Oryctolagus cuniculus: one gene and its partner. The protein of the gene in region 1 interacts with the protein of each later gene in a biochemical or structural test. Links are inferred from orthologs where the notes say so. Each region holds a gene or a part of one and is shown in the gene's direction. Other genes may lie near its edges.

Region 1 (8,180 bases):
TGCCAAGCACTGAGTTTGCTTTTAACATTCTTTACCCTCCCCCATAGCATCCATGACCTCATGTTCTCTTTTAATTGCAAAGAACAAGAGTCTCTACTGCTATAAAAATGCAATCTTAGGTTTGAGATTACAAATTGATTGCCTATTGGTCACATCTAGCCTGAGATGTTTTTAGTTTGGCCTGCAGGGTTTTAAAATGCTAGTAGCCAATACTTAAAAAATCCAGAGACTCTGCACAAAAATCCAACTTCAAGGTTTCTTTTGGAATAAAACCGAGTGTCTCTGAACAGAACCAACATTTTGCAAGGGCAACAACCCGCTCGCACTCAGCAGCTAGTCCCTTTAGTTAAGCATGTAAGCTCTAATTTGTCATATTCCCTATCATCCCCCACTGTCTTGCACCAGGCCAGTCTCATTTGTTTTCCTGCAAGCCCTATCTAGACTTTCCTGTCTCCCATCAAAGGTTACTTCCTTACCTCTCAAGCCCTTCATTAGTTCTGCAAAGCAGCAGCCAGGTAATCTGATCAAGTATGGGTTCTTTCACAGGTGCTTTCTGGAGATAGCATCTTAACAGAAAGGGATGACTCTGCAGGTGGAAATGACAGGCGCCACTGGATTACAGTCGGGATGGCAACTGCCCCCTCTACGTTCTCTGCTGTCCTAACACAGCCCCACCTTACTGGACGAAAGGAACTGCTTCTCTGGCAGAACAATAGACACTGGTTTATGTGTGAGGCCTTCTCCGAAACCACTTCTATAGTTCAGTGAGGCTCCCAAAGACCCAAAGCTACTATGGGCTCTTCCGACTCCCCGTTGCCTCGGAGGCTTCAGGAAATCCGGCTTGACCGCATTTCCCCTCACCTGCTTTCGGGGCCAGTTCTGAGCCGGGCGGTCGCGCCCAAGGAGCGCGCGCATCCAGCATGAGCTCATCTTTCGGGGGGCGTTTCCAGAAGGCCCGGCCCGGGCGCGCGCACCAACCACAGTGAACCCCACTCTGTCAATGGCCCCGGACAGGGCGAGGCGCGGCCGCCCATAGGCGCTACCTCTCTGGAAGCTTTGTTCGTACTTTAGCATCTGAGGGCTCGCACCCCGCTGGGGAGACCCCTTCGTCCGTCAGGCCCTTTCAGGAAAGACGCCGCTGACACTCGGCAGGCGCGATCTCGGGCTGAGGGCAGAGCCAGCCGCGCCCCGCGGAGAGCCTCTCGTGGGCGGGGGGAGCCCCTGGACCCTCTGCTCATTTGAGCGCGCCTCAGAAACCGGCCCCGCCGACCGCAGCAGTTTCGGACGGCTGAGGGGAGGGCTCGTGCTTCCTTAACTGCGGTTTCCACACCGGTCGGGAGCAGCCACAAGCGAGCCCGACACACAAGTCCGCCGCAGCCCAGTCAAGCTTCTCTCAGCTCCTGGGACCGCCGCCGAAGGCCAAACGCCAATCACGCTGCAGCTAGGTCTTGCGATTGGATGGCAGTCAGGGCCCATTGGCCACCGCTAAGGGTTTCGGCCTCCCTCCCTTTCTCTTTCGCCACCCCTCCCGGCTCCAAAGCTTCCGGCCAATGAGACGGCACCTTATAGACATCCTCCCTCCGCTTTCCTCGCCCCACCTTGGCGAGGGGGGAGGTCTTCTGACTGGCCACATGTCCTCGGAAGCCCCCTGCCCTTCGCCAATCATCGAGGGAGGTTCACTCCCAGCGGAGTTTTCCAGCCAATTACGAAGCAGCCCCAACTCGCAGCCCTGCAGCTTCACCAGCGACTCTGGGTTTCACCGTCCTTAACTCTTTAATGCTTATTCGCGAGGGCGACGACTGTGATTGGCCCCTGTTGCCCTCGTCTAATTTGTCCTCCAGCCAGCCACAGAACAAGCCGAATCCACCTTCTTTCCGTTCGGATGCCTTCGGCATTTTCCGCTCTCTAGGCGAGGCTTCCCGGGGGCCCATTCTAATTGGCTCTTCAGGCCGATCGGCTTTTTCCGGGAGGAGCCGTAAAGAAACGACGCCCGTGATTGGCTTCGCTGGGGGTTCGGCTCCGCCGCCGAAGAGGGCGGGCGTTGGGCTCGGCCGGCGATTCCCAGACGCCTGTTACGCGGGCGGCGGGGCGCGGGGCGGTATAAGGCTGGGTGGGGGAGGAAGGAGGCGGAGGACGAGTAGGAGGCGGGGAGAGGGAGGGGGAGGGGGGAAGGCGCTAGGCGGCTGCGCAGACGGAGCTCCTCACACAGAGCAGCCCCCGACCCGGGCGAATGCGGGTTTGTGCTGCCGCTGCCGCTGCCGCCGCCGCCGCCCGGGCCGAGTGACAAAGGAAGGAAGGAAGCGAGGAGGAGCCGGCCCCGCAGCCGCTGACAGGGCTCCGGACTGGGGGCACAGCACGGACACTTCCTCAGCGGACACGGAGCTGAGGCGCGGGGCGTGAGGGCGGCCGCGCTGGTGCTTTGGACGGGGGAGGGGGCCCCGAGGGAGACGGAAGCGGTTGCCGGGTTCCCATGTCCCCGGCGTATGGGGAGCAGTCGAGGAGCCGCTGCCTGGGGTCTGAAGGGAGCTGCCTCCGCCACCGCCGCCGCCATGGCCGCTGGATCCAGCCGCCGCCTGCAGCTGCTCCTGGCGCAATGAGGAGAGGAGCCGCCGCCGCCGCCCGCCTCTGACTGACTCGCGACGCCGCCGCCCTCCAGGACGCCGGGCCCCCGCCGGATCCCGCCGCTGCCGGAGCCGCAGCGTTTCCCGTCGCATCTCCGAGCCGCCCCCTCCCTCTCCCTCCCTCCTTCCCATCCCCCCTTCTCTTCAAGCGTGAGACTCGTGATCCTTCCGCCGCTTCCCTTCTTCATTGACTCGGAAAAAAATCCCCGAGGAAAATATAAAATCCAAAGTACTTATTTTCAATCAAGTATTTGTCCCCATTTCACGTGATTTTTTTTAAGGAGTCCCCCCTCCCAGGAAAGGGAGGGGAAAGAATTGTGTTTTTTTTTTCCCCTCCCCCAGCCCCAAATCATCTATATGTTAAATATCCGTACGGATCCGTCTTGAAGGAGAATACATCGCTCGTGTTTTTTTTTTTTTTTTTTTTTTTTTTAATATAGCTATACAAAAGAAGTGAAAAGCCAAGAGGACGAAGTCTTTTTTTTTCCTTTCTTGTGGGAGAACTTAATGCTGCATTTATCATTAACCTAACACCCCAATATAAAACAAAAGGAAGAAAAGGAGGAAGGAAGGAAAAGGTGATTCGGGAAGAGAGTGATCATGTCAGGGCGGCCCAGAACCACCTCCTTTGCGGAGAGCTGCAAGCCAGTGCAGCAGCCTTCAGCTTTTGGCAGCATGAAAGTTAGCAGTGAGTATTGATTTTATTTTACACCCCTTCTCCGTCTCACCCCTAAAATAAGCAACCTCGAAGTCCTAGAACCTTAACATACTAGACCTGATGGAACACTCACCAGAGCTAATGGAAAAGAGCAAGACCTGTCTTCAGTCGAGGATGAGGCAGCTCCCTCTTTTCTCCTCCCATAACCCCCTCCCTCGGTCTCATTAACCTTGAGTTCAGAGAGTACGATTTTTATTTCGATGATTCGATTTGAAACGTTTCTTGTGCTTTCCTTGCTACTGATGGTCGCCTTTATCCAGTGCTTGGGTGTTTCCACTTGGAAATTGTGATGGAAGCGTTTGCTTGCCGACCCTTTTGAATAAAGAGGACTAAACGACTCATAAACCATTATGTGCATTTGCAGAGTGTTTGTCTTTTGGAACGAGGGAGGAAATTCTGGTTAGCTCAAGTCTCGGGTTATCACAGCTTTGTGTACTTCATGGAGACATGAAATGTCCCAGTCTCCTAACGTTTCTCTTCGTGCTGGTGTAACTATACAAAGTATTTGTTCTTAACCTGGGGATGAACTTGCTCAGTAACCAGCATTCATGTGTGGAGGTGATCATCGCTCCCTCCCTTTACAAGGGGCTGATGGGAACAGATAAATATCCAGCAGCAGTAGCATCTCCAAATACATTGTCTTGAATTGGATAAGTGGTTTAATCTGTTATCTCTTAACCTTCCTGTTTTGGCATTACCAATCTGCCACCATATAATTTGTTTAATCAAAAGGTAACTTGGAAGGAGGTCCAAGTTTTGATTGAGGCGTATGTTGTCATAATGCCAGATACTAAGTTAAATGTTAATTGTCACTGACTCATTGTCATTTAAGTTCAATTTTGACGTGCTGTTGCATTTGTTACTTGTTAAAATATTCTAGAGTACAGAGGATTCCTTTTTAGGAATACTTAAAATATCCTTGCATCAGTTTTCTTGTAGATAAGATTGAATTTAGTTAGAGGAACATAGATTTAGTCCTTTCCATCATAGTTTTTGCAGAAGGTTGTCCTTCTGGAAATGGTAGGGCTGTCTGGGATGTGGTCTCAGGGTTGTTACCAGACTGTACTTTCACAAAGTCTGTTTTCTTGAGGTGTTTGTTATACTAAGTATCCAGTGATCCCACAGAGCTCTGTTTGTGAAGGGGTTTGTGTGGCAATTAATGGCAGGTTATTTAAATATACTTCCAGATTTTGACAAAAAAAAATGTTTATATTGTTTCCTTATTCTCTGAGAAAGGGGCATGAAGAGGGCAAACTATTTTGTTGCCTAGAGGAGCTAAGAGAACTGAAGAGCCTTAAACAGTAGATTCTGTTATGTGGACTTGATTACATCCTTAAGCAATATAAAATGTTTACTTTTAATTGAACTCAAGATTCCAATCACTTTGGCTTTTGGAACTTGCCTGAAACAGGATAGTCCAAGGTAATAGCTGAATGGGAGATTATTTTTGAGTTAATTTTTTTTTCAGTGACTAGCTAGTAGAGAATGCAGAGTATGTAAAGAGGGAAGCTGATTATGCATCTTTTTAGAGAAGGGTCATGCTTTCTAAGCCCTTCATGGGGTCATTTGAAAGAAGTTTTTTATTCTGGGGGTAATTTTTAGCTATGATGAAGCAAATATTACAATAGCTAATTAAGAGCCTCTTGTGATACTGCAGTGATTGTATGTTTTACATCTTGGTAATAATTAAAAAACACTGAAAGTCAGTTTTAGGAATATAATTATTAGATGTATTTCAGAGATCTATAATGCTAGTGTATAATGCTAAATTCTGGGATTTTATATTTTGTTTCTAGGATTTTCTTTGAAGATGACTCCTTAATTCTTGATGGCATACATGTTGACCAAGAATGGTGTGATTTTTGTAAAGTATGTAGGTTAAAATGTTTGATTTTCTGTTATCATGTCCTTCAACTTAATATTTAAAAAGTTGGAATTTATTGCTGAATATGCATTTTTGATAAGCCTAGCTTTAGGGATATTTAGAAGAAAGGGGAGTCATTAGGCATTTGTTAGGTGCTGGTGTTTTCAGGACCCATGTTCAAAAGAGATACATATGAAATTATAGTCCTTGGCTTCAAAAAAAGCTGGTCACTTAGTAGTAGAGGCAATTTATGGGAAAAACAATGAAAACAATGGCATTACGACTGCAAGGCAAAATACAAATTGAATCCTTTGTTCAGAGGGACAAAGAATAAAGGGGTGAGACATGCATTGGAGGGAGAAGGCTTCCTGTAGAGAAGGTGTGCTTTTAAGACAGGTGTTAAAGAAGGCTGTGTCTTGAATTGGTGGAGAAGCATGAAAGATTCTAGGTGAAAGGACTCCAGGCACAGAGATGGTGAGTTTTGTAGGAGAGGCAATAAATAAGCTGGTAAATCTGAATTATAAAAGCCTAAGTAGGAAAATAACAGGTAAAATTTGAGAAATATTGGAAGGATAGCTGACAGAGGGCAAGGGGTCTGAAAAAGTTTGACATTCATGAGAGCTCTGAACAGTTTTTTTTTTTTATAAACTTTATTTATTTTAATTTTATTGGAAAGGCAGAGAGACAGATCTTCTCATCTGCTGCTTCACTCCACAAATGGTCACAACAGCCAGGGCTGGACCAGGCCTAAGGCAGGAGCTGGAACTCAGTCTGAGTCTTCCACTTGGGTGGTAGAAACCCAAGTCCTTAAGCTTTCATCTGCTGCCTCCTTGGATGTGCATTAGCAGGAAGCAGAGGAGCTGGGACTAGAACTGGCCCTGCCATGTGGGATGTGAGTTGTACCAAACACCCACCCCTGAACAAGGTATTTGAAGATGATTTGGGCAGCTAAGTTGAATTAGAGTAGAACTATATTAGAGCCCTTTAGGGAGATGCTAGTGTATGTTGTGAATCATGAGGGAATAAAATAAACTGAAAATGGGATGAAAGGAACAGATTTGAGAGATGGTGTGAAGAAGAACTGGCAGGGTTTTGGATTGGACTGAAGGGGACTATTTGTGAACAAGTCAGGAGTTAAAAATAAATTCTGAGGTTATTGGTCTGGAAGACTTGACCGCTGAGTTACATTGTTAATTGTAATGGGAAAATTGAGAAAGTGCTGAGATGCAACTGTAGATGAGTTAACTTTTTAAAAAAAGTTTCATATAGGATAAGTTGCCTTGAAATTCATCAGACAGCAGTTATTGGCAATTATATTTAACTTTCCAGTCTAAAATTGCACTAATTCTAATTTTTCTATACCTACAAATGTTAGATTTATATTAGCATTAAACTAAAGGTTTTTATTTCCAGGCTTTTCATTAAAGTCTTAAAAAATAATTTGAAATTCAAAAGCCTCACATTTGAAACTAAGTTATAATAGTTTCATGGTAACTTACTTAAAAACAATGAGTATACTTTTTGGAGTAAATTGTGACTTAAACATTTTAAGTATTTTCAATATCAGTTTTTAGTTTCTGTCGCATACTTAAAACTTTTTCATAAATAATGTTTTTTTCCGGTAAACCTTACATTAAAAATGATAGTAATAATACTAAGAGCCTTCATTTTGCATGTGAAGATTCTTACAGAAATTAAAAGTTGATTTTCTAAAAAAGTAATTTTTGTTGAGTTAAAGTATTTATTCCAAGTTTAAATTGGTATATGAGTGTTGAAATCCTTACTTGCTATGGTAAAATCGGTTTCTTTTTCGTTCACATCAGGTTTATGTGTTATTACCTAATGTTAATATTATTATAATTCCTTCTTTAGAATCATGTGATCTTTTACTCAAAACAGAAAGTAAGGGGCTACCAACTTATGGCAGTTTCAGTTAAAATATTAGTAATGAATCCTTTTGACAAACTTTTGAAAAAATTTAGCTATTTGTCTAGGTTCAATGTTTAAATAGAAAATTTGTAAAAGAGGAAAATAAGCCAGTGAGTAGCACTTAAATTGTTTCCTTATATAAAGCTTTTTTGTAAAAAAGATTTACTTATTTGAAAGGCAGAGTGATAGAGGAAGAGAGAGAAAGACACACATGTGTACACACACACCTTCTATCTGCTGGTTCACTTGCCTGAAACATCCAGAGCTGAGCCATACTGAAGCCAGGAGCCAGGAGTTCCATTCAGGTCTCCCATTTGAATGGCAGAGACCCAAATACTTGGGCCATTATCTGTTGCCTTCCCAGGCACATTAGCAGGAAGCTGAATAGGAAGTGAAGTAACACCATCATGGGATGCTGGCATTCTAAGCAGCAACATAACTTGTCATGCCACAATGCCTGCCCCTCATGTAAAGCTTTTTTGGATCAAAAATGTTATTACCAGAGAGAATAATTCATAATGGTATGTTTTGCAGTATTAAGTTGTGTGATAGTTGAAACTGAAGAGTAAATAAGTAGCAACTTAATCTTTGTGACATCTAAAAATTAGATTATTGGAATTCAATCAATTTCTTGATTATCCTGTAATAATGTAGGAAAGAGCTCATGTTTGAGAATGAAAACAGGAACCTCATTTTTACTCTTCTCCCAATCAGACTTAGCTCAGAATTGTTATAACAGTTAAGATGGTAATGTAAGAATTACATGCTGTCTTGTTTTATGCACCTGTAGAATGACAATATGACATAGGCATTAGGAAAAACTTCAGTGGCACCCAGTGATTGACAGTTCAATTGCTGACTGGGCATCACGTTTAGAAAATGACATCTCATTCCACTGATATAGTTCAGCTGAAAATCAGACTGTACTTGCATCTGTCCTGTCTGTCCCTTTAATTGTACTTCAGTTGCAGGAATAAGATACTATTTTGTAAAAAACAGCAACGCTGGGAAAGCTGTGTTTTTTTTTTTTTTTTTTTTTTTTTTTTTT
Region 2 (8,080 bases), on another chromosome or scaffold:
TCCCGATGATTTCCATGCTCTGGAAATTTCTTAACTACAGAGGCAGCGTTAACAAAGCAAAAATTAGAGTCAGTGTGTGGCATGGCAGGTTAAGCCACAGCCTGCAATGCCTGTGTGGGCACAGGTTCGAATCCCGACTGCTCCACTTCTGATCCAGCTCCCAGCTCATGCACCTGGGAAAGCAGGGGAAGATGGCCCAGGTTCTTGGGCTCCTGCCACCCACTTGTGAGACCTGAATGAAGCGCCTGGCTTCAGTCTGGCCCAGCTCTTGCATTTGCGGACATTTGGGGAGTGAACCAGCAGATGGAGGATCTCTCTCTGTGTCTCTCCTCTTTCTCTGTAACTCTGACATAAAAAAAAAGAGAAAGAGAGAAAATGGAGACTGCTGTTTCCTTGTCAGTGTGAAGTGGAAAACAGAGATAAAAGAAATGCCTCAAGGGTTTCTATGAAGGATGAAACCAGTGCTGGGTAGAGCAGTTAAGACACCATCTGGGACGCCCAGATTCCAAGCCAGAGTGCTGGGGTTCGAGTTCCCAGCTCTGCCCTGATCCCATCTTGCAGCTGAAACACATCCTGGGAGGGTGCAGGTGCACTGTGAAGGACAGCAGGTGATGACTCAAGTAGTTGGACCCCTGGTCCTGACATGGGGGACCCAGACTGAGTTCCTGGCTCCTGACTTTGGCCTAGCCCAGCCCTGGCTATTGCAGACATTTGGGAAGTGAACCAGAAGATGGGAGATTCTCCTCTCTCTCTCTCTCCTCTCTCTCTCCTCTCTCTCTCTCCTCTCTCTCTCCTCTCTCTCTCCTCTCTCTCTCCTCTCTCTCTCTCCTCTCTCCTCTCTCTCTCTCTCGTTCACTCTTTTACTTTATTTTTAAAGATTTGTTTATTTCCGGGGACGGGGGGAGCCATTGTAATCCATAAGCTGTACTTTGGAAATTTATATTCATTAAATAAAAGTTAAAAAATTTAAAAAATTTTAAAAAAGTCACAGTCAAAAAAAAAAAAAAAGATTTGTTTATTTCAAAGGCAGAGTTACAAAGAGAGAAGAAGAGACAGAAAGGGGTATTCCAGCCACTGGTTCACTCCTCAAATGTCTATAATTGCTGGGACTAGACCAGGCTGAAGCCAGGAGCCTGGAACTCCATCCGGGTCTTTCACATGGGTGGCCAGTACCCAAGCTCTCAGACCATCATTTGTTTCTTTCCAAGGAGCATCAGCAGGGATTGGACATGGAGCATCCAGGACTCAAACTGGTGCTCATATAGGATGCTGGCATCACAGGCTGTGACTTAGCCCACTGTGCCACAATGCCAGCCCCACTATGCCTTTCAAATGAATAAAATAAATAAGTTTTAAAAGAATAGTACCTGAGGCCAGCACCACGGCTCAATAGGCTAATCCTCCGCCTTGCGGCGGCGGCTCACCAGGTTCTAGTCCAGGTCGGGGCATCGGATTCTGTCCCAGTTGCCCCTCTTCCAGGCCAGCTCTCTGCTGTGGCCCAAGTGCTTGGGCCCTGCACCCCATGGGAGACCAGGAGAAGCACCTGGCTCCTGCCTTCGGATCAGCGCAGTGTGCCGGCCGCGGTACGCCGGCCACAGTGGCCATTGAAGGGTGAACCAACGGCAAAAGGAAGACCTTTCTCTCTGTCTCTCTCTCTCTCTGTGTCCACTCTGCCTGTAAAAAAAAAAAAAAAAAAGAATAGTACCTGGGGCCGGAGCTGTGGTACAGCGAGTTAAAGCCCTGGCCTGTAGTGCCAGCATCCCATATAGGCACAGGTTCTAGTCCCGGCTACTCCTCTTCCGATCCAGCTCTCTGCTATGGCCTGGGAAAACAGTGGAAGATGGCCCAAGTGCTTGGGAGACCCGGGTGGAGTTTCTGGCTTCTGGCTTCAGCCTGGCACAGCCCTGGGTATTGTGGTCTTTTGGGGACCAATAGATGGAAAATATTTTTCTCTGTCTCTCATTTATTCATTCTCTCTGCCTTTCAAATAAAATTAATCTTAAAAAAAAAAAAAAAAAAGGTAAAGCCGCTGCCTGCAGTGTCGGCATCCCATGTGAGTGCTGGTTCAAGTCCTGGCTGCTCCACTTCCGATCTAGCTCTCTGCTGATGTGCCTGGGAAGGCAGCAGAGGATGGGCTGAGTCCTTGGGCTCCTCTACCCACACAGGAGATGGAGGAAGCTCCTGGCTTCTGGCTTCAGATCAGCTCATCTCTGGCCATTGTGTCCATTTAGGGAGTGAACCAGTGGATAGAAGACATCTCTCTCCCTGCCTCTGCCTGTAACTCTGCCATTCAAATAAATAAATAAATATTTAAAAAGAAAGAAAGACACACAGACTCAGAGGCCCAGCCCAGACTGAGCAGAGCAGAGTCTGCATTCAAGAGATGCCAGGTGATTTCTGCTCCGTGCAGGGGAGGCCCGTTCACGGACAGACATGTTCACCCCTGAGATACGGAGGCTCCGCCTGCCAGGGTGCGGGTTTGCTGTCCCTTTCTGCTGGTAGCTTCAGCGACTCACTGTGCTCCGTCCCCCTTCCTATTCCTCTGTGGGGCTGGGGAACAGACTGTCTCAGGCCAGCCTCTGGGTGGGACTGTGTTCAGTCTCCCTGTGCCCTGTTCTGTAATGACAACTGCTAGATTGTGGGCAGAGGGTGCAGGACAGCTGTCTAAGCCCCCTTGGCTACAGCTCCTGGAGCCCACCAGTTGCACACAAAAGCCTCCTCATCCAGTCTGTTTCTCTTGAGCCAAAGCATTGGAACAAAACCCAGACACACCCTGTGGTGTCCTGAGGCCCTAGTTAGGGGCTTAAGACCCGAACTCTTCAGTCTTTGCCATCTGTCTGAAACCACGTCGCTCTGCTGTGTCAGCCCACAGGTTTCAAAACTGCATAGATGCCACTTATCACCTGGTGGCATCACAGTATAAAAGAAGAATAAGGGGCCGGCGCCACAGCTCAATAGGCTAATCCTCCGCCTGCAGCACCGGCACACCGGGTTCTAGTCCTGTTTCGGGGTGCCGAATTCTGTCCCGGTTGCCCCTCTTCTAGTCTAGCTCTCTGCTGTGGCCCGAGAGTGCAGTGGAGGATGGCCCAAGTCCTTGGGCCCTGCACCTGCATGGGAGACCAGGAGAAGCACCTGGCTCCTGGCTTCAGATCAGCGCGGTGTGCCAGCCCCAGTGGCCATTGTGGGGTGAACAACGGAAAAAGGAAGACCTTTCTATCTGTCTCTCTGTCCACTCTGCCTGTAAAAAAAAAAAAAAAAAAAAAAAAAAAAAAAAAAAAAACTGTGTGGATGCCATGTATCACCTAGGGGCACTGCAGTATAAAAGAATAATGAGGGGCTGGCGCTGTGGCATGGCAGGTAAAGCTGCTGCCTGCAGTGCCGGCATCCCATATGGGCTCCAGTTCAAGACCTGGCTGCTCCACTTCCAATCCAGCTCTCTGCTGTGGCCTGGGAAAGCAGTAGAAGATGGCCCAAGTCCTTGGGCCTCTGTACCCGAATGGGAGACCCAGAAACTCCTGGTCCTTGGCTTTGGATCAGCACAGTTCTGGCCATTGCAGCTAATTGGGGAGTGAACCAGTGGATGGAAGACCTTTCTCTCTCTCTCTCTGCCTCTCTCTGTGTAACTCTGACTTTCAAATAAATAAATAAATCTTTAAAAAAAATAATGAATGTTTCTATTGTTGACACTGGGAAGCTAAATCTTGATATTTTAAAGTTACTTTTTTTTTTTTTTTTTTTTTTTTTTTTTGACAGGCAGAGTGGACAGTGAGAGAGAGAGACAGAGAGAGAAAGGTCTTCCTTTGCCGCTGGTTCACCCTCCAATGGCCGCCGCTGCAGCCGGCGCACCGCGCTGATCCTGGCAGGAGCCAGGAGCCAGGTGCTTTTCCTGGTCTCCCATGGGGTGCAGGGCCCAAGCACCTGGGCCATCCTCCACTGCACTCCCTGGCCATAGCAGAGAGCTGGCCTGGAAGAGGGGCAACCGGGACAGAATCCGGCGCCCCAACCGGGACTAGAACCCGGTTTGCCGGCGCCGCAAGGTGGAGGATTAGCCTATTGAGCCACGGCGCCGGCTCAAAGTTACTTTTTTAATTTATAATAATAGGTAGCAAAATTTAAGACATCTGTTGAAGTGTAAGAGAAAGCAATGACTAAATTGCATAAGATAAGGAAGATGCTGCAAATGGACGTTCACGTCGTTGGTCTGAGGTGGCAAGAGACAGTAAACTCAGTCAAGTGAGAGTAAAGGGACGTAGTAGCCGAGCGTATGGACTTGTGGGCGCCACACCGGTGCTGACTTCTGTTGGCCAGGAGTGTGCTTTGTGTTATTCTGCGTAAAATGCGTGGTTGCTCTTTTCTAGACGCTCGAGGAAGCATTCCATAACCTTGACCCTGAAGGCACCATGAGTGTGGAAGACTTTTTCTACGGTTTGTTTAAACACGGGAAGTCCCTTACGCCCTCCGCATCGACTCCGTACAGACAGCTGAAAAGGCACCTCTCCATGCAGGTAAAAATGCCAGAAGGCGGCTGTGAAAGGCGAACCTGTTTGGATCATTGCCAGGGAGGTGACGTGCCGTGTGATGCGTAAAGAGTCAGACAGACTCAACTATCAGGAAGGGGAGTGTGGGCTGAGGAATGATCCTAAATGAGCCTAGGCCACTACACAGGCCTGTTGGTGTCAGCTCTGGGCCTGAAGAAGCCCTCAGTAGAAGCACATGTTGTCTAAGTCACAGCACCCCCTGAGGAGCTCCGTGAGCCTGCCTGGCCCGGAGCAGAGCGCACAGCGGCCGCGTGCCCTTGCTCACTAGCAGTGGCCGGCAGTCGTGCTCGTCCTGGTCAGCACTGGCCACGCCCGGGCTCGCCCGGCAGCTTGTCGAGATGCTCAGAGCCGGGCTCAGCTTGCTGCGGTCCCTTTTCCTCTTGTAGTCCTTTGATGAGAGCGGCCGGCGCACCACCACCCCCTCCAGCAAGACGGGCACCGTTGGCTTCCGGGTCTTCTCCAGCCTGGATGACGGCATGGGCCAGGCCTCTGTGGAGAGAATCCTGGACGCCTGGCAGGAGGAGGGCATCGAGAACAGCCAGGAGATCCTGAAGGTCTGGCCCCCAAACGGGAGGAGAGTGGCAGGCTGGGGGAGGGTTGAAAGTCTCCAGTTCTTTCCGGGACTCTGTGATCTGACTTGATTTTACTTCTTGATTCTTCTGTTCACAAGATCTCAGAGATCAGCAGGTAAGTGACTTTTCCTACCTTGAGTGAGTCATCTGTGGCTAATTACTTGCCCTATTTGTAACCCCAAAATTATTGATGTGAGAAATGTTCTTAACTATCTCTACTTGGAACAGACTAGAATTATACCATCGTTTTGAGTGACAGTACTGGACATTGTTTTATTACATGGAAATAACTGATAGCCATATTATATATACTCTGCTTAAAGAGAACTTCATTAAATTCTAGAGTGAAGATTGTTCTTTTTTTCTTTAAAGATTTATTTATTTACTTGAAAGTCAAAGTTACAGAGAGAGAGAGAGAGAGAGAGAGAGAGGTCTTCCATCTGCTGGTTCACTCCCTAGTTGGCCGCAACGGCCAGAGCTGTGCCAATCCAAAGCCAGGAGCCAAGAGCTTCTTCTGGGTCTCCCATGAGGGTGCTGGGGCCCAAGGACTTGGGCCATCTTCCACTGCTTTCCCAGGCTGTAGCAGAGAGCTGGATTGAAGTGGAGCAGCCAGGGCTTGAACCTGTGGCCATAAGGGATGCCGGCAATGCAGGCAGCAACTTTACCCACTATGCCATGGCATGGCCCCTAAAGATTATTCTTAAGCAGTCACTAAAGAAATGCACCCATCCCAATCTAGATTGTACTTAGTCCCCTGAGTTTGTATGACCTTCACGTTCTCTGCTTTCGGAGGATAGAACTTGTCATTTTTTCTTGAACTTCTGTTCTGATTTTTAGGCCTTGGATTTCAGCCTTGATGGAAACGTCAACCTGACAGAACTGACACTGGCTCTTGAAAATGAACTTTTGGTCACCAAGAACGGCGTCCACCAGGCGGCTCTGGCCAGCTTCAAGGCTGAGATCCGGCACTTGTTGTGAGTTGAGCAGGTTTGCCTGCCCCATCCCTTTGCCTGCTTGCCCATCGAGTCCATCAGATGCTCTCAGCAAAGTCCCCTGTTCTGTTCTTCCATTCTGGGTGCACCTGTGGCTAATCTTCTCTCACTGAACTAGGAACAGATCTTCCTACCACAGTAGGAAAGGGAGGCGGAGCTTAGACTGGCGCGCAGGCTGTGGAAGGCCCCTTTGTTGGGGAGAGTTTGGGTTGTCTTGGTTTTGGCCTCACACTGAAGCAAGCCAGAGGAGAGCTTTTTCAGATCCCTCTGCTGCCTAGAAACCGTTTCCCGTTAACTCCGTTTGTTTCTGATTCCAGAGAACGAGTGGATCAGGTGGTCCGAGAGAAAGAGAAGCTGCGATCAGACCTGGACAAGGCTGAGAAGCTCAAGTCCCTCATGGCCTCGGAGGTGGACGATCACCACGCGGCCATCGAGAGGCGGAATGAGTACAACCTCAGGTGCGACCCCTAGGGCGACTCCTCCTCCCCTTCCCACCGCCCTGGCTCGCGCGGGGGCGCCTGCAGCTACAGGGCCGCAAAGGCAGGGGGCGCTGTGCCTGCTTGGCCGCCGCTAGCTCTGGTGGTTTAGCTGTGGCCAAGCCTAAGAGAAAGCAGGACACCCTAGGTATTTGCAGGAGGGCGTCTGCCTCTCTGACTAAGCTTCCATCTTTGGCAGCTGCTTGGAGGGACCAGGGAGGGATTTGATGGTAGCTTCTCGACTTTCCCTCCTCGCAGGAAACTGGATGAAGAGTACAAGGAGCGCATAACCACTCTAAAGAATGAACTGCAAAGAGAGAGGGAGCAGATCCTGCAGCAGGTGGGCAAGCAGCGTGGAGAACTTGAGCAGGAAATCGAAAAGGCGAAAACAGAAGAGAACTACCTCCGGGACCGCCTCGCGCTCTCTTTGAAGGTAATGATCTTGTCGGTGCTGGGGTCTGCATCCCTGCTGGAGACGCCCCGTGGAACTGTCCCGCCTGCCAGGGGACAGGTGTGCGCAGGGATCAGTCCCAGCTTGCCTTGCTGTGTGTCTGCCCTGCTGGCCTCTGGATTGCAAGCACACCCAGGCTTCTGGTGTGCTGACAGCACTGACGAGTGGTGATCTTGTCCTTGTCACACCCTGCCGTTGCTTGGGGTCGTCAGGGCTGTGTGGTGCTTGTTGACACCCTCGTGCCCACAGCCTCTCTTCCAAGCCCATCCTTCTCCCTCAGATCCCTTCCTCATTCCCTGCTGGTCCTTACCCAGCGGGTGGCTCACCTCCTGCCACACGGAGGCTGTTTCTCTCTGCACCCTCCCTCTCCTCCTGGGCCTCCGTGGAGGAAGTGGTCCCTCTGTTTTCCAGATTCCCTCACCAGAAAAGCTGGTGCAGGGGCCTGGGGTCAGCTGGCCTGGTTGCAGTCTGGGTTCCCCCACGTGCTGGGAAGCCTGGACCAAGTCACCCACCCCTGTTTCCGAATGCACACGTGGGTGCCGTGGTAACGCTAACACCCACGTCCACCCTGGGCGTTGGTGTGGGGCTCATCTCATCCGGTGCATTGTGCAAAACCGTGAGTACAAATGAAACGTGTGCCACGGCTGCTCTTAGGAAAGCTTCCTGGAACATCACACATCAAAAATAGAGCTAATTATCACTCCCTCACCAGCCAACTGCCTCCTCTCCGAATTTTCTTGCTGAGCCCCGTGATCACCATGTGCTGAAATCCCAGGAGCTGGCGTTCTCAGTGTCCCTCACCTGTGGTCCGTTTGTCCATCTCAGAGTCGCGCTGATGCTCTCCAGTGCCTCTGCGGTGTGTCCCCTCCCTGCTGTCACAGCGACCTTCCTAGGGACCCATTTTGGTGAGGCTGGTGCACTTTATAAAAGTACGGCCACCCGTGAGCAGTCCAGGCCGCAGAAAGGGGGCTCATTGCCCCCACCTGTGCCTTTCTCGCCCAGCTCCTGCTGGCAGCTGCCAGCCCCATGCCCATGCCCCCACTGCACCTCC

Evidence for each region.
Region 2: of the proteins of GSK3B (region 1) and NIN, one has a biochemical effect on the other in vitro, tested with the Homo sapiens proteins (2 studies listed by BioGRID and IntAct). The link is inferred for Oryctolagus cuniculus from reciprocal best matches to the Homo sapiens genes GSK3B and NIN.

Annotation. Positions count from the first base shown.
Region 1 is NC_091435.1:76,545,811-76,553,990, reverse strand, and holds the start of GSK3B (glycogen synthase kinase-3 beta), read left to right. Parts: upstream 1-3,170; 5' UTR 3,171-3,221; coding exon 3,222-3,309; intron 3,310-8,180. Other genes in the region: transcription factor SOX-4, read right to left, coding at 1,826-2,809. UniProt on the Homo sapiens protein: Constitutively active protein kinase that acts as a negative regulator in the hormonal control of glucose homeostasis, Wnt signaling and regulation of transcription factors and microtubules, by phosphorylating and inactivating glycogen synthase (GYS1 or GYS2), EIF2B, CTNNB1/beta-catenin, APC, AXIN1, DPYSL2/CRMP2, JUN, NFATC1/NFATC, MAPT/TAU and MACF1.
Region 2 is NC_091443.1:25,409,611-25,417,690, forward strand, and holds part of NIN (ninein), read left to right. Parts: intron 1-4,358; coding exon 4,359-4,505; intron 4,506-4,924; coding exon 4,925-5,092; intron 5,093-5,947; coding exon 5,948-6,084; intron 6,085-6,419; coding exon 6,420-6,560; intron 6,561-6,836; coding exon 6,837-7,011; intron 7,012-8,080. UniProt on the Homo sapiens protein: Centrosomal protein required in the positioning and anchorage of the microtubule minus-end in epithelial cells. May also act as a centrosome maturation factor.